Linked DNA regions of Yarrowia lipolytica. The protein of the gene in region 1 interacts with the protein of each later gene in a biochemical or structural test. Links are inferred from orthologs where the notes say so. Each region holds a gene or a part of one and is shown in the gene's direction. Other genes may lie near its edges. The genes, in order: YALI1_B13973g, YALI1_F01405g and YALI1_C12333g.

What was found.
Region 2: the proteins of YALI1_B13973g (region 1) and YALI1_F01405g form a complex in vitro, tested with the Saccharomyces cerevisiae proteins (2 studies listed by BioGRID). The link is inferred for Yarrowia lipolytica from reciprocal best matches to the Saccharomyces cerevisiae genes TOM70 and YDJ1.
Region 3: the proteins of YALI1_B13973g (region 1) and YALI1_C12333g form a complex in vitro, tested with the Saccharomyces cerevisiae proteins (2 studies listed by BioGRID). The link is inferred for Yarrowia lipolytica from reciprocal best matches to the Saccharomyces cerevisiae genes TOM70 and STI1.

What each region holds. Positions count from the first base shown.
Region 1 is NC_090771.1:1,394,642-1,400,364, forward strand, and holds YALI1_B13973g (uncharacterized protein), read left to right. Parts: upstream 1-2,683; coding exon 2,684-4,534; downstream 4,535-5,723. Other genes in the region: YALI1_B13948g (uncharacterized protein), read right to left, coding at 1-174; YALI1_B14013g (uncharacterized protein), read right to left, coding at 4,885-5,723. UniProt on the Saccharomyces cerevisiae protein: Component of the TOM (translocase of outer membrane) receptor complex responsible for the recognition and translocation of cytosolically synthesized mitochondrial preproteins.
Region 2 is NC_090775.1:137,653-143,187, reverse strand, and holds YALI1_F01405g (uncharacterized protein), read left to right. Parts: upstream 1-2,687; coding exon 2,688-4,142; downstream 4,143-5,535. Other genes in the region: YALI1_F01430g (uncharacterized protein), read left to right, coding at 99-635. UniProt on the Saccharomyces cerevisiae protein: Probably involved in mitochondrial protein import. Is also required for efficient translocation of pre-pro-alpha-factor. Involved in heme regulation of HAP1, as a component of the high-molecular-weight (HMC) complex.
Region 3 is NC_090772.1:1,230,933-1,237,171, forward strand, and holds YALI1_C12333g (uncharacterized protein), read left to right. Parts: upstream 1-2,381; coding exon 2,382-2,396; intron 2,397-2,871; coding exon 2,872-4,584; downstream 4,585-6,239. Other genes in the region: YALI1_C12317g (uncharacterized protein), read left to right, coding at 781-1,242. UniProt on the Saccharomyces cerevisiae protein: May play a role in mediating the heat shock response of some HSP70 genes. It is required for optimal growth of yeast cells at both low and high temperature.

The sequences.
Region 1 (5,723 bases):
CTCGAGGGTAGGGACGGGGAGCTTGGGGAGAGACTCCTGGTATCGGAGCATAGGACCCTTGGACTTGTCCTCAACGTAGCCCTCGGGGAGAGCGTTGGAACGGGTGGCAGACATGGTGAAAGCGCGGGTAGACGTGAGTCGAGCGTTGGACATGAGTCGGACGGATCTGAGCATGTTCACGTTTAACGTGTAAAGGAGAAAGGACGCACTCTCCTTCTTATAGTGTTTCTGTAGCACGTGTGGGGAGCCGAGGTTAGGATTAGGGTTCGGATTTGAGTCGGTGGTTGTGGTTGCTGGAGGGATATAAATTATCTGCAAAAGCCGTGTATGGGAATTGGTTCAATGGACCCAATTGCTGGGCTTTTAATTGTCTACAATTGTCTCTTCTTAGTCGGATTGCCCACTGACTCTCCACTTAACTCGTCATCCTCTGGCGCACCTACTCCACGTCATGCATCCAAACAATCTGCAGCTGGAATTATAGTATTTCACCTCAAACCGATGTTATCTCCGAGAAGATGGGGGCGTGTGTTTGGGGGTCAACGGCCGCGCAATGGGCGGATTTTAAGCCGCCAATATGCAATTACGCCATCCATCTCTCTTGTTCCGTCTTTTTGTTGTCTCCACAGCTCTTATTTGTCCACCTATCTAGACATGACTAATGCCGCGGTCCCCACATGAAAATTAGTACAGCCCTTTTTCTTATAGACCGAAAGCCAAAATGGACGGTAAAAACAATCTTCGCTGAAAGTAGCCTTAGCTGGGGTAAACCGAGGATGGTGACTGTGGCTCCGAATGCAGTCAGCCTTTCCCAGGCAAAAGACGATATATGTGCCGATACCCCGCGTTTGCACCGGCTGCAGCAGCTTTCGGAGCTCGTACGCGGGCTTCGGGTCTTATAAAGACAAACCACCGACACCTCTCCGAGCTCAACAGATCAACGTCCGACCTTTCGGGACTTTCCGGGGTGCAGAAAACAATACGGGGAGGTCCCGGTACCTGGCAATGTACATACACAGGTAAGTACTGAATAAGCTGGTGTATAAGCGTGGTATATTGTTGGACATGCCGCTACAGCGGGCATGTCACTATCAAATTGCATGCCTCGGTATATAACTGGGACCCAGCGTCTGTATCACGGCCGTTACTGCAGATCTCTTCATTCTGCACAAGCTTTCGGTTCCCCAGAGTTCCATGTGAATTTTCAGAGTTTAACGTGCCCGCAGTTGCTGTGCCAAACACTGTCAATTACCGGGCGACTGATAGGGTCCCGTGCTGAAAAGGAAAAACTGGTTAGTGAGCGTCGTAATCAACGTGCTAAAATCCCCAGCTGCCAACGTCATCGTGATTGTTTAGGATTTAGTCTCCAACCTGGAACTCGTTGGTCCAGTGACCCCAGGCACAGCACGGTAGCTTGTAACTATGGTGGTGACCATTGCTTCATGTGCTCTACTCAAAGTGCGGGAAATGGACGAGGCAATGAAGAGGGCATTGGACACCTATAATGGACGTTTGGAGAGGCAAAAAATAGCCACTAGTGCTTGGAATTACAAGTATCTGGTAGTCGGAATAGATTTATGGAAAAATCTCGGTCAAATTATTGTGGAAATACCCTTTTACCAGTACCATGTCTGATGCTCGCGATTCGGTATGGTAATTTACGGGGTTAACCTCAAACACCAAACCGTATAACCATGATGAAGATAAGAGGTGGGTGATTGTAGAGTACCTATACAGGACTAAGAAAGGACGCTCAAACGCCCATTTTATGTACCTTTTTTGAACAAAATGTGCTGGATTTCATCCACATATCAAGCCATCTATCATTCCCATATTATGTCTCACGCTGTCTCGTATTCGTCCGTTCCACCGGGGCGGTTACAGGTGTGTAAATTATTACTGGCAGTCCGTTTAGCCGAGCACTGTATGCAGAAAGTCAGGCACAGCACACACTGACATTTCCACCTTGGTGAGCGAGCGTTTGAAACTCACGTGATCTTCACGTGACCACTATCTTGTCTTCTTTTCTTTTCTTTTCCGGGGACGCATTCAGCCGGCCAACGGTGAAGATCTAGAACTGTAGTGGTTTCGGGGTACGGCAAATCGCTCATTGGAAGGAGGCAGGTACAGCGCCAGGACGAGCGTGGTGAAGGCCAATTGAGCGCTCATGTGTAGCGGATTGAGCAGTTCACAACGTGAAAGTCACATGACCTACTCGCCACAGGTGTACGTTCATCTTGGTCAGCCATATACAATGCACTATGACGTCTTGGTTTGCCATGAACCCGGCGCCGGATCATTTGACTTAGACTCGCTAATAGCTTGTAATACTTAACGGGTCATGTGACGTAGTAGTGCGAATTTTAGGGTGTCTCTAAGTTGGTGGGAAATCAACATATTGGAGGCGTGAAAAAGAGAATCGAATCTGCAGGCTCAGCTTTATACTATCAGCCCCCAATGTGGCCTCTTTTATATCCAATATCGGTTCCAAGCAATGGCCATCTGCCATGTTCTAAAGTTTTCCATCTTTCAACTGGGTGAATTTTAGACCAAACAGAGTTTCAAGACCAGTACAACTTTTAGAGCTTTTTGCCTTGCGTACAATTGGAAGAAGCTCTCTCTTTTGACAACAGCAAACACAGTCTTGTTCTACTGTACCAACACAGCACAACTGAGAGAAAAAATGAGTGAAAGCAGCTGGAACCGACTGGTCTCGTGGGCCGCTGACAACCGAAAGACCATTCTTGTGGCGTCTGCCATTGCTGCCGTTGCCACCGCTGGATCCTTCTATGTGGTTTCCCAGCAGCAAATGAGCCCCAAGAAGGACTCGTCTTCCAAGAACAAGAAAAAGAAGAAGGCTAAGAAGGCCAAGAAGGATGCCTCTTCTACCGAGGAGTCTTCCGCCAAGAAGGCTGATCTGCCCGAAAAGTCCATTGCCGGCATTCCTCTGACCCGATCCGAGCCTCAGTACCCCGATGTCCAGGACTGGGAGAAGGTGAAGGAGCTGTCCGAATCCGAGCGAAAGGAGCTCGCTAACTCGTTCAAGGCCGCCGGAAACGCCCTGTACGCCAAGAAGGAGCACACCAAGGCCGCCGAGCTCTACACCAAGGCTCTGGACTGCTACATTGACCCCATCTTCTACTCCAACCGATCCGCCTGCTACTTTGCCCTGGAGGACTACCAGAAGGTCGTGGACGACACAACTGCCGCCATCAAGCTGCGACCCGACTACTTCAAGTGTTTCCGACGACGAGGAACCGCCCAGGAGAAGCTCGAGAATTACTACGACGCAGCTGTCGACATCACCGCCTCTTGCGTGCTCGAGAACTTTGGCGACACCTCCATGAACGACATGGTCGACCGACTGATGCGACTCAACGCTGCCCAGGTGGCCCAGGAGGAGTACAAGGACCGACCCAAGGTACTGCCCTCCCAGCAGTTTGTCAAGACCTACCTTGGCTCTTTCCGACCCCGAAAGATGCCCAAGGACCTCAAGAAGGACACTGACCACGAGGCCGAGCAGGAGCTGGTTCTTGCCCTCGATCTGATTGAGAAGGGCACTTACGACTCGTACACAAAGGCCCTCGAGCACCTCGACAAGGCCATTGCCGGCACCGATCTGCAGAACCTTTTCCCCACCCTAAAGGCTCTGGCTCTCGAGTACCGAGCCATCTTCAACTTCCTTATGAACAAGATTGACGAGGCCAAGGCCGATATTGACCTGTCTCTGCAGCTGTCTGCCACTGTTCAAGCCTACATCACTCGATCCTCCATCCACCTCGACACCGGAGATAAGGCTGCCTCCCAGAAGGACATTGAGCTTGCCCTGGCTCTCAACGCTGAGGACCCCGACTGCTACCACCACCAGGGCCAGCTGTACTTCCTGTCCGAGGAGTTTGACAAGGCCATTGAGTGTTACAACAAGTCTCTGGAGCTGGACGACACTTTTGTGCCGTCGCTCATCTTCAAGGCCAACTCCCACCTTAAGAAGGGTGAGCGAGTGGGCCAGTCCAACCCCATCGAGACCCGACACCTCGTCGACGCCTGCTTCGAGGTCTTCGAGGAGGGTGCTAAGAAGTTCCCCAAGAACGCTGATCTGTGGAACTACTACGCCGAGGCTCTTCTGTCTACCCAAAAGTACTCCGAGTCGCTGCGATACCTCGACAAGGCCATTGCTCTCGAGAAGGAGCAGAACCCCACCTCCATGAGCGTGCTGCCTCTGGTCTCCAAGGCTCTGGTTATCTTCCAGACTCAGAAGGACTTCGACACCTCCGTCGACCTCTGTAAGCAGGCTCTCGTGATCGACGATCGATCCGAAGTTGCCATCGGAACCCTGGCCCAGCTGTACCTGTCTGCCGGCAAGCACGACGAGGCCATGAAGATGTTCAAGAAAAACGCCGAGTACGCTCGAAGCGAGGAGGAGCTGGTGCAGAACCTCGTCTTCCTGGTGGCCTCCAAGATCCAGACCACCCTGCAGACCGATCTCCCCGTGGTCTACAAGAAGCTCAAGGAGATTACTCCCCCTCAGGCTTAGACAAAGTGTATATAGCAAAGATGGGTCGAATGGCCTGTCTAATACGAGTATGACTATTGGAACAAAAGAGTGAGCGTAGGTAGTCAAAACTGTGTCACGGTGGCTACAGTATTTGTACTGACAATCAAATGTGTAATACAAGTGATGGGGATATCGTAATACTGTAACAGCGTGGTCTCTGGCGCGACTTGTTTAGTGGGTCAACTCCTAATCATCAAAAATGTCACGAGAATTGTATCTCACTTACACAGACTTGCAGTATGTGCAGTACTGTCGTGTCACACACTACATACGCCGTATATGTTAGTCATAAATTATTGAATATGTAGCTGCCAGTACTTGATTAATAGTTAAATCGGTCGAGTGGAGGCCTCCACGAACTTCTTGAACATTTTGGTGGTGTTCTGATTGAATTTCTTTTTATCAAAGTCAGCCATAATGGCCTTGGAGAACTTGGACGGTTCTTTTTTCTTCTTGCCCGGCATGGGGGTGGCTGGAGATTCGGGTTTACCTTTGTCTTTGGGTTCCTTTTCCTTCTCCGGAGGCAAGGGAGTCAGGGAAACGGCCAGAATGGTGTCTCGTTTGATGAGCTTGTCCCAGAACTGGCCCATGATGAAATAGTTGTTTGTTTCATCAAATACTTGGAAGCACTCCTTTTGCCAATGTTTGGCCTTGTACGGGAAAGTCAAGATCATGAGATTCTTGAACTCCTTGAACGTCTTGATACTGTCGACGGGGATCTTGTAGCCATAGTCCTTTTCTTCTTCGGCACCGTGAATGATGACGGTGAGGAAAGCAGGCGTGTTGGCAACAGGAGGTGCAACGGGAGTAGCTGCCTTCCTTTCAGCCTCTTCCCTGGCCTTTTTTTGTTTGATCGTCTCGTCTTTGATCTCCTTTTCAATCCTAATGGCCTCTTCGTATCCCTTGACAATAGCGTCTCCAACGACAGCAGGAACATCGTGGTCTCGCATCATCTGAAATAGATCCTGGTAGTACTGGGCAGCCAGGGACTCAAATGCTGGCTCTGTCTCCACGGGAATGTCAGAAGCAGCAGGTTCGTCTGCTTTCTTGGCCCAAGGAAAGTACTCCCCCCATCCTGCTGGTTTGGGCGTTCCAGGTGTTTCAGGCTTCTTTGGTGGAACCAAACGAATGCCTCGCTCGCCAAGAAGAGCTGCCTGCTTGACCTTTT
Region 2 (5,535 bases), on another chromosome or scaffold:
CAAACCCTAAACCTCGACATGCATGATTTCGAAAATTATTTTTGTCGTGCATATCTGTATCCAAGACAAACTCATCACCACCACATTACACACAAAAGATGGGCGTTTCAAGTGCTTCTGAGGCCACCGTTGCCAAGCTACTGAGCCGAACGCTTGCTCCGTCCGAGGACGTGAGCCGACGAGTGCACAAAAAGAAGTCTGCGACCCAGCGAAAGCTACGGCAGAAAGAGCAAAAACAGAAGGAGGAGCTCAAGCTGCTTCTGGACAAGGAGCTCGCTGACAAGAAGCGCAAGGCTGAGATCAAGAAGAACGCGCGGCTGGTGCGATCCTATGACGTCAAGGAGTCCGAGTACGCGATGGACGAGGAGCAGCTTCAAGCCCAGATCATGAAGCACGTCAACTCCAAGCGGGGCTCCCATATGCTCAAGTCCAAGCAGCTTGCTGAGCTCACGGGTCGTCTGCCCAAGCCTAAGGTGAAGCACAAGACGTATCCCAACTATGTCGAGCCTGAGGAGGAGGAAACTGAGTCTGAGGGAGAGGATGAGTTTGAGCGGTACAAGGGTCAGCCTGGCTTGACTCCTGGTCTGGCTCCTGTGGATTACGAGTCGAGTGACGAGGAGGAGGTGGATGAGTGAACTTTGCGAACGAGCGAACCCATCTGACAGCCTGAAGGTCGTGCTCAACATTCCTCGCCGTGACAGTTGTACGGATCAAACGACCCGTTATTGAGTGGGCTGTTGCAGAGATATCTGCAACATTACTGGACGATTGGCAAATCATTCACAGCTGCATCACTATGGCAGACGACAACAGCATGGATTTATTGCATTAATTTATTGTTATTAGAAGTGAAGTACTGTACTGTACTGTACTTGTAGCTCGTACTTGACAAACAGAGGTCTACTCTCTCGAAGGTGGTTATTTGGTGTTCTGGTAGCTAAACCCCTTCAGGGTACATTAGTCCAAACTAATATAGGTAATGTTGAGTCCTACATTTTGGTCAATCCAGGTATATCGAAATATATTAATATATATTCGGCTACATTTTTTTCTCAAAGATCCTCCTTGGATCTCGAACGACGCTGGGATCTGTATTGAACCTCAAGCTGGCATTTTCTCTAACTAACTTCCAAGTAAATGATCCGACAGAGGTAAGAAAAGCGTACATTCATTTCAAAGGTTATTCTTTCACAGCAAAGTTATAATTAAATGAATGTATATGCAGGAAAAAAAAAAAAAAAAAGTAACGGAAGGACAATGGTAAGCCAGCTATAGCAATCTGCTGATCAGATTTCTGCAGTTCTTTTCAATCAATCAACCAAGTCATCCAATGAATCTAATGGACTTGAGTGGTTCAAAATAAATCTCTTATCCAGCAGATCAAGATGTCTCCATCCAGTCCCAGTAACATACTACTACAAGTAGGAGTTCCGATGTGAGCACCATCACACGAGGCTTCAAAAGCTGTTTCAAGAGGTATTTCGGACGCTGAAATTCATTTATTCAGCCCGGCCACCTTCTTAAAGCTTCTAACTGCTCCAAAATCGTTATCGATTCAATACCAACGAAGTTGCAATCCTTCACCGTTGGTTGTTTTGCTACTTGAATCTTTAGTTGACTCCCCTTCTACTTGTCGGTAATTTTTAAGCCCATCTACACATCACTCTTTCTCAGCTCCTAGAACACCCTAGAACTTATCTCGTGGACCCCAAACCGGTCCCCACTGACCACGAAACTTCCATGCTGCTTCGATTGCGTATACCTTGCTATCTGAGGCACCAACCCACGCCCCAGCACGTCGTTTTTACTCGTGCCCAGCGTGCAATTAGATTGTGCATCAGTGATTAACTCGAGACAATTGGGATCCGAGATGAGGCGGTTGAAGGGATGAATAAATATCACGCAAAAAGAATCAAAATATACTGCCCATGGCACACGTATATTTATCACTATTTTTGCGTGATATTTAATTGTGTCCCCACCATCGCCCTTCCTCGATGCGATCCCGCTCCCGTACCTGTAAATTATAACTCGCGATTACGTCACTAAGTTGAGCTCATCGAACATTGGGGAAACTGGAAGAAGGTCTTGGAACAAGAGCTCGCACAACTGAACACTTTATGCACGACGTCAGAGACCCCAAAACGGCCGCAAAATGGAGCCAGAGACCCGATTTCGCGTGGCAAAAATACACAGCAAAAAACCACTCCCACGCCACCCCACCAACGCCCTTCTTTCTCCACTGGCACGGGACTGAGCAGGCAGTGTCTGGATCTTTCTACACCCTTCTTTGTGAACCTTATTCGCGTTAAACACTCCCAGTACTCTTTGTGCCCTCTAACTTTCAGGCCCATCCTCAAATTTTTTGGCAGTGTATATACAAGCCAATCTACGAGAAGTTGAGGCCTCCTGGAAAAATTAGACCTAGACTCTCACAACAACACAAACACACGACACAGACAAAATGGTCAAGGAATCAAAACTCTACGACGTTCTCGGTGAGTATGAGAAGAGAAGAGAAGAGGAGAGTGAATGGACGGAGCGGTTGAGATGAAGCTGAATAGTATGAAGACCACACACAGACTTGTGATCAGAGTCTTATCATATCAAGGATCAGAAGCGAAGCGAAACTGTGGTGATGTTGAGTGGGAGGGATTGGCAATGTGACAATGTGACAATGTGGCAGTATGAATATGAACACAGTGCAATCTGAGGATGGTTCTGTGTTTGTGTACATGACTGGCTGTTCATCTGGATTTGTCACACTGGTTAGTAGCAATGTTGCGGCTCTCTCATTACCATCCTGCGATTGCCATGACCAAACCACACAACCTGGTATTACCAGACACGCTACGTGCTCCCACATCTCTCCTGTCTCTCGCTCAGTCGTGCCACGCACCCCGAAGTGCTTTACTAACCCAGGCGTCAGCGTAACCGCCACCGAAGTGGAAATCAAAAAGGCATACCGAGTTGGTGCTCTCAAATACCACCCCGATAAGAACCCCGGCAACGTCGAGGCCGAGGCCAAGTTCAAGGAAATCTCCATGGCCTACGAGGTTCTGTCAAACGACCAGAAGAGAGCTGCATACGACAACTTTGGAGAGGCTGGCCTCGGCGGAGGAGCCGACGGAGGAATGGGCGGCGGATCTGCTGAGGAGCTGTTTTCGCATTTCTTTGGCGGCGGCGGTGGCATGGGCGGCATGGGCGGCATGTTCGGCGGCGGCCAGCCCCAGGGCCCCCGACGATCCCGTGACATTGTTCACGCCGTGTCCGTGACCCTCGAGGACCTGTTCCGAGGAAAGACCTCCAAGATGGCTCTCAAGAAGACCGTGCTCTGTAACGGCTGTGACGGTATCGGAGGCAAGGCCGGCTCCGTCAACAAGTGTGAGACCTGTAAGGGTCAGGGATTCAAGTTTGTCACCCGACAAATGGGCCCCATGCTGCAGCGATACCAGACCAAGTGTAACGACTGTAACGGCGAGGGCGAGATCATCGACCCCAAGGATCGATGCAAGGACTGTAACGGAAGAAAGACCAAGGAGGAGCGAAAGGTGCTCGAGGTCAACATTGATAAGGGTATGGTCAACGGACAGAAGATCACCTTCTCTGGTGAGGGTGACCAGGGTCCTGATATTATTCCTGGTGACGTTGTCTTTGTGCTGGATGAGCAGCCCCACGCCCGATTTGTCCGACGAGGCGACGATCTGTACTACCACGCCAAGATTGATCTCAACACTGCCCTTACCGGTGGCTCTTTCATGATTGAGCATCTTGAGAAGGAGGAGTGGATCAAGGTGGAGATCATCCCCGGCGAGATCATTTCGCATGGCACCACCAAGGTCGTGGAGGGCAAGGGTATGCCCTCCTACCGACACCAGGTTCACGGCAACCTGTTCATTCAGTTTGAGGTCGAGTTCCCCGCATCTGGCTCTCTCAACGAGGAGACTCTGCAACAGCTGTCTGCTCTTCTGCCTGCCAAGCCTGCTCTTCCCAGTGTGCCCGAGAGTGTCCATGTTGACGATGTTGTTCTGGCTGACGTGGATCCTCTCAAGCACCGAGGAGCTATGGGCGGCGATGATGAGATGGACATGGATGAGGATGGACCTGGAGGAGCCCAGGGTGTCCAGTGTGCTTCTCAGTAAGAGATTAAGTACGGTTATATAGAAACTCTATTTATGTTGCAACCTTGGAGGTGACAAGATAGTAGGTAGATAGAGGTTAGAATGGATTGATGATATGAGAAGAGAGCCTGAGGATCTAGTCCGCTGAGGATCTAGTCCGAATGAGAACAGTAGTGTAGAAGGAGATGTGAGTATAATTGTTTGTAGTTCGGCTGTCTCCACGGATATATGAGTACAGGATGTACAGCACAGTACATATGTTGGTGACAATGTAGGTGTGTGTACATGTTCGCGCAAAGCTATGAGGATCCCACTGATATCTCCGAACACATGCCATATTGAAGTTAAGAGGTACATTCGATCGTATTTATTTGCTTTTTGATCTGGTTCCTGAACTACTGTAACATGACTGTCTAGGCTCGAGAGCACTTCTTGTACATGTAGTGTTCGAAGCAGAGAAGGGTGGTGCTATTGATTCCAGGGTAGTTTTTGGTTGTTTGTGCCACTATGTGATAGCTGTTTTGGTATACTTGTACAGTAGCTACTTGGTTTAGATGAGTAAGCGTACGTAGTTATTGAACAGTATAGTGTTCTTAGTAGCTAACACCCATATATAGATATATTGACCCAATTGGATCATGATAAATGAGTTGTCTGTACAGTACTTGTACAAACCGGTATTATGAATAATGGCGGACCTTGTCGTATCTTTTTCTATTTGGATTGATAGGAGCAACATTCAAGCGTCTTGTTCTTGGGCGTTGGCTGTGTTTGGACACATACCAACATCCCCCTTTTTTCCGCCATTATTTGTCTATGTTAATAAATCACTAGAGAAAAAAGACGATGGGGAATCCAACGGTAGTATTTAATCACAGGAGGGCTAGTGAATGAGACTAGTTGATGGGTTCTTAGAGGGGGTTTAAGGTGGTGAATCAGTCGTAACGTTCCTGCGTTACAATAAATGGTACAGTAGCGTGTCTGATGGTGAGTCTAGAGTTCCGAGTACATGACCGAATGAAACGGGAGTTGCGGCTAACAGATATTCACAGAATCCTTGAATGATTAATTGACTTATTTTCCTCATGTCATGTTTTCCTCATGTCAAGTTTTCCTCATGTGGGTATGTTTTCCTCATGTTATATCCTCTGGATGTCCAGTAGGGGCTTTGCTGTTTGACTGAATGGATGGATACTGGGGCAGTAGTCCTGTTACAACTACAGTACTGGTTGCAAATACTCATCTACTGTTGACATGAGTAGTACATACTGTGACACCCAGTACAGACTACAAGTACTTATAGCATGTTATTTCGGGCTCCCCTAAGATGTCGGTTCTTGTCGTTCAGCAACTGAGACACCAACGGTAGATAATCGAATGACCCCGCTGATTACTACTTGTAGTGGGAATGGGC
Region 3 (6,239 bases), on another chromosome or scaffold:
TCAAACAGGACGAGTTCAACAGGAATTACGATACATAATTTTGCTTCTCCTGATGCGGTACCGTCCAAGACCTCCCCTGCCTCGTGCCAACCCTGCCCTGTTACAACCTACGTGCTGCTGCTACACGTTATTGACATCCCTTCTCTGGGAAGTGAGTTCAAGGGGTGGTTTGGAATGGCAGGTGGATGGAGACAGTTGTGGGTAGTGGAGGCCATAGCGGGGTCTAGAGCGGTAATATGGCGCGTGTAGACGCCGTTCAGGACTTTTTTACCGCGTCTACCGCTAAATATACCAGCCACAGCTTCCTTGCACAGCCCAAAAACCGACTATCTCTCTGCCAGGACAAGCACACAAGGTTCAATCTAATTCTGGATCCTGTTAACCCCGTTTCGAGGTCGCATTGGGGCCAGCAATAATGCAAGTGCTATCACCTTGGCTTTGTAAAAGTGAGCAGCTGGCAACCTATCGTCCGGTAAAGACTCCATTTGGTTTCTCTCGCGTGTCTTATATGTAGTGAAGTGACGGTACAGTACCGTTGTGTTGGACCAGACCAGAGCCACGATCTCTGCACCTTGTTACATCTACAGTTGTTTCAACTGGACTTGCAAGCAAGGTGTTTGGCTCAAGCGACACTTACTTTTTCCCAACGCTCTTTTATGCTCTCTCCCTTAGCCTTGTCTTTACACTTTGGGCTCCGTGGTCCGTCATGGCCCAGATATATGTAGGTGTGGTCTGGCTATCTTTGGTCCACCTTTTCCAAGAGAATCAACATCCGTCTCCATGACTCCAAGATACTACTACGTTGCCATCATTGTGTGTGTGGTGTTCCTGGTGGTGCTCCTAGCGGTCTACTTCACTCGCCACTTTGTCCAGAAACGACGACTGCGAAATCAGTCAGCCAGAAGGGACCTGGAAGCCAACCAGATGGTGCAGCAATGGCGAGCCGTGCAAGAGCCCCAGCAAACAAGGCCAAAGTACTACAAGGAGCCTCTGACTACCTACATTTCCACCAGCTCTCAATCCACCAACCCTTCCACCTGGTCCTACAACTCGGACACCCTGCCTTCTTACTCCCACAGCGACGGGTTCGCTAGACCGTACTACTACTATCGTCAGGACGAAGGGACCGTTTCGCCGGCTGAAATGTGCCACATTTGTCAGAGACAGTTCAACGATACCGATGCGGTCAAGCAGGTGTTTGGAGGATTGGTTCATCAGCAGTGCTACTCATTGACGAGCTGACAGACCGAGATGAAGCCCGGTGTAGTCGATGGACTAAAGCAGGCTGGAAACCAACCGACACCAAATGAGAAACTGACCAAATAAGAGACAACTAACACCGCCAACTACAGTGTCACTGACACCAACTGTACAGTACGAAAGGCTACAATCAACCACTGTCGAGTAAAGCCCAAGTCTGGCACTTGAGACTTAGAATGTATAGGTAATGAATTACGAGTATTTATCCACTATGCTGAACCCAACAGATCAAGGTATCCACACTCGTGCCTTGAACAGAAAACAGGGCTCATAGATAGTGCGTAGCACGAACCCCAAAGATCTTGGTATATAATACCACACCTCTCTCACTCAACCCATCCTGCGTCACGTGATGATAATGTCCGGTAATGTAACTAAAGGACAAGAGGGGGAACTCTGGGTTCCATTTCAGATGGAGACTATGATAAGTGGGGTGATGTATAGCTGCAAGTAGTCATATTTTGAAAATCTGAGACTCCTGAACTAATACAATACGTATATATGGTTGTTTTTTTTAAACATATCATCGATATCCTTTCAGATGGTGTTGATGCTGAGAAGGTGTATCCTTTTTTCCAAGATTTTCCCCAGTTCAAAAAAATCAATAAATTTAAATAAAAAAAAATCGAAACAAATTCGAATGAAATTTAAAAAATTCGAAAAATCAATAAAACAACATATCAAAATAAATGTATCCCATATTACCACCATTGAGTCTCGTAATTACGTCATATAATACTTGTACCGCCCCATATTGAGATCTCCCTCCCGTGCGGCTCAACAATTAATAAAGTTTTCCAGACATACGCCCGATTCAAAACTTATTCAATAGTGGCAACCCGTCGATTTAGTGTCTACTGAAAGAGTAGAAAATGGCCACTATCGCTGTTATTGTAAGGAAAGTGTCTCTTATAACTCACGTGACCCGAAAAATACACTTGGCTTCCCCCATTATAGTGGCGAACTCATTTTGTATCGGTTTGGCAAAGTTCAGGCGTCAGGGTTAGGGTCCCACACCACCACAAGATTCTAGAAGATTCAGCTGGGGTCTTGCAGGTTGGGATATAAGAGGGCTGCTGCCTTTTTCGACCCCATACCGAGACTCTGAAAGAACACTTAAAATGTCTGCTGACGAAGTGAGTATTGAAAGGGAAATGCGACACTGGATGAGAATGCGACCCAGAAGAGAAGGTGACACAATTGGGGTGATTTGGACCTGATTCGGTGGGTTTTTGAGTGACTTTGACACAGTCACGAGGCCATGATCTAGCTGTCCCTATAATCAATGGTTTTACAGAACTGTTGACTGTGGGACACTGTGGTGCAATGATGATTGTACGGTGGTGACGTGGTGATGGTAATGGTCCAAAGACCGTTCAATGATGGCAAACGTGACAATTGGTGTTGGATTGTCTTGACATATTTTTGAGATGGACACGGAGTACTAGAACTCCCTTCTTATGACACTCCAACCATGTCGCTTTGATTGCTATCAATGGGTCCCACTACCCCCATTGCCCGTCACAGTTTCAAACTCACATCTGACTGTGTCTGCTTCTGCCGTTATTCGCGGACCCCCAGCTTTCTCCCCCTGGCTCCATACTAACACAGCTCAAAGCTCAAGGAAACGCAGCCTTTGCTGCTAAGGACTTCCCTACCGCCATTGACCACTTCACCAAGGCCATTGAAGCCTCTCCCACCCCTAACCACGTGCTCTACTCCAACAGATCCGCCTGTCACTCTTCTCTGAAGAACTTCGACGATGCTCTCAAGGACGCCCAGTCTTGTATTGACATCAACCCCCAGTGGGCTAAGGGCTACGGTCGAAAGGGTGCTGCCCTGCACGGAAAGGGCGATCTGATTGGCGCCAAGGATGCCTACGAGGAGGGTCTCAAGCTGGACCCCTCCAACGCCCAGAACAAGGCTGGTCTGGAGTCTGTCGAGCGAGCCATCATGGCCGAGGCCCAGGGCGACGGCACTACCCCCGATATGGGTCTTGGTGACATGTTCTCCAACCCCGCCAATCTTGCCAAGCTGGCCTCCGACCCCGAGGTCAAGGAGTACATGAAGGACCCTGAGTTTGTTAAGAAGCTCGGCGAACTGCAGAAGAACCCCATGGCTGCTCTCTCAGGCATGCAGCAGGACCCCCGACTCATGAAGGCTATGGCTCTGATGCTCGGTATTCCCACCGACATGCAGGGCAAGGCTTCTGAGGACAAGGCTGCCCACGACGCCCAGCAGGACGTTGAGATGAAGGACTCTGAGCCGGCCAAGCCCGCCGAGGCCCCCAAGGCTGCCCCCAAGACCGAATCTAAGCCCGCCGCCGAGCCTGTGTCCGACGAGAAGAAGCAGGCCGATGAGGAGAAGGCTCTCGGAAACACCGCTTACAAGGCCCACAAGTTCGACGAGGCCATTGCTCACTACAACAAGGCTTACTCCATCCACGAGGATATCACCTACCTCAACAACCGAGCCGCCGCCGAGTTTGAGAAGGGTGACTACGAGACATGCATTAAGACCTGCGAGGAGGCCATCACCAAGGGCCGGGAGGTGTTTGCCGACTACAAAGTGCTGGCCAAGTCGTTTTCGCGATGCGCCACCGCCTATGTCAAGCTCGATAACTTGCCCAAGGCTATTGAGCTGTACAACCGGGCTCTCACCGAGCACCGAACCCCCGATACTCTTTCCAAGCTGCGAGCCGCTGAGAAGGATCTTAAGAACAAGGAGACCCAAGCCTACATTGATCCTGCCAAGGCCGAGGAGGCCCGAGAGGAAGGTAAGGAGAAGTTTGCTGCCGGCGACTGGCCCGGCGCTGTTAAGGCTTACACCGAGATGATCAAGCGAGCTCCCGAGAACCCCATTGGTTATTCCAACCGAGCTGCTGCCCTTGCCAAGCTCATGTCTTTCCCCGAGGCTGTGGTTGACTGTGATGCTGCCATTTCCAAGGACCCCTCATTCATCCGAGCCTACATCCGAAAGGCTAACGCCTACTTTGCCATGCGAGAGTACTCCAAGTGTGTGGACACCTGCACTGCAGCCCTTGAGCACGACAAGGAGGGCAAGTCCAAGGCCGAGATTGAGGCTCTGCAGTACAAGGCCATGTCTGCTCGATTCCAGGCCCAGGAGGGCGAGACTCCCGAGGAGACCATGGAGCGAGCTTCCAAGGATCCCGAAATCGTGCAGATTCTGCAGGACCCCATCATGTCGTCTATTCTCAACCAGGCTCGGGAGAACCCCGCCGCTCTGCAGGACCACATGAAGAATCCCGAGGTTGCCCGGAAGGTCCAGTTGCTGGTTGCCGCCGGTATTATTAGAACTCGATAAGAGAATCGAAGCACGAAGCAGACAACGTCCTATGTTGAATTGCTGGGACTATGTACAGATGTTATTTAATGATATGTTTGAAGATGTTTGAGGTAATAGATCAGTTGAAGAGTTTTTTTACGAGCAGCTGCAATACGTTCACGCAGTGTAAGTTAGCCGGTATTGATGTTGGAGTTCCTCACAGGTGCTGTTTGTACTGTATTACAGATACAGTAGTGAATTATATGTACTAGGCAGCTTGTTAAGGGTTAGAAGCAATCAAACCGTGTGTGTTCGAACGTTTGAACACTTCCGCACTGCTTTTGTCATTGGTTACATCTGAAAGCTACTAAAGTAGTGAGTCAACTTCAACAAAAATGTTACCGCTGAACGACCCAAAAGAAGGCAGTTGATAAAGAGAAACCTTGATGGAAGAAAAAAACCAGTCCCTTGGTGTGACATTCTTGTTAATATTGGTGTCTACTTATTGAAGATATAGTGAATAAACGACTTACAGTCACTTCTAGGGACACCACGTTCCGATAGTAGCGCACACCCTTCTGGTTTGTGCTTGCTCTTCTCCAAAAAGAGATTCTAGATCAGTGGATAAACCTATCTACTACGACCAGGATGGTTCCTCTCATCATTATATGAGGAATTGGCCAGGTATTACAACCGAGTATTACCTTCAACACTACTTTCTCTACATTCTTTGAATGTAGGTAGTACTCCTAGCACAGCAGTAAAAACGAAAGTACAAGTGCAAAGTACATCGTATTCAGTTATTTCAGTAATTTTAAATGTAATGTTCATGACAGAAATATCAGATTTAAGCTGGGTTGTTGGCGTTCAATCATTTTATTTATTCATTTATTCTAGCTCATTTCTATTTATTCTAGCTCATTTCTATTTATTCTAGCTCATTTCTATTTATTCTAGAGCATTTCTATTTATTCTAGAGCATTTCTATCTATTCTAGGGAATTTCGATTTATTCTAGGAAATTTTTTGTTTTTTCAATGGTAGGGAAATACATTTTGCTTTTTAAAAAAAAAGAAAATTGGATCTAGTGAATAATACTTTTTTTTTCTTATTCTAGGGAAATACATTTCAGCTAATTCAGCTAGACAATGTTATTATACCCGGAAAATCGGGATTTGGATTCGGGTTGTTCTGAAGTGCGCAATGACATTCGTTGTTCGCTTGTTCACGTAATTTTTTTTTTTTTAATTTTATTATTTTAATGAATGCTTTCTTGTCTTTTTTTAATATTATTATTATTCTAATGATTCCGCGCACATGACTTATTTGGCCCTTCAAAACGTCCTACGCTCTTTTCTTTCTCTGTAAGATCCGATCGCCTCTTATCTGCGGAATAGTTCTCAGTCGGTAGATTGTCGCTGTCTAATCTAACCGTTGCTCGCTGTCTGTAATACGTTCACAGGCTGGTGATAACTTGTCTTATTCATCATACATAAATGTCCTTCTTATACTACCATCCTCCGGGTGGGTCCCAGTTGGGAGCCACAGTCACACCTGCACGTGACCGGCACCATCCCAAGCCCTTAGTAAGCGACTTGGTCCTTACATTCTCAACGGTTGCGGCCATATCCTGGTGAAAATACGGCTTCCCGTCCGATCAGCCATAGTCAAGCACCAGAGAGCCTAGTTAGTATT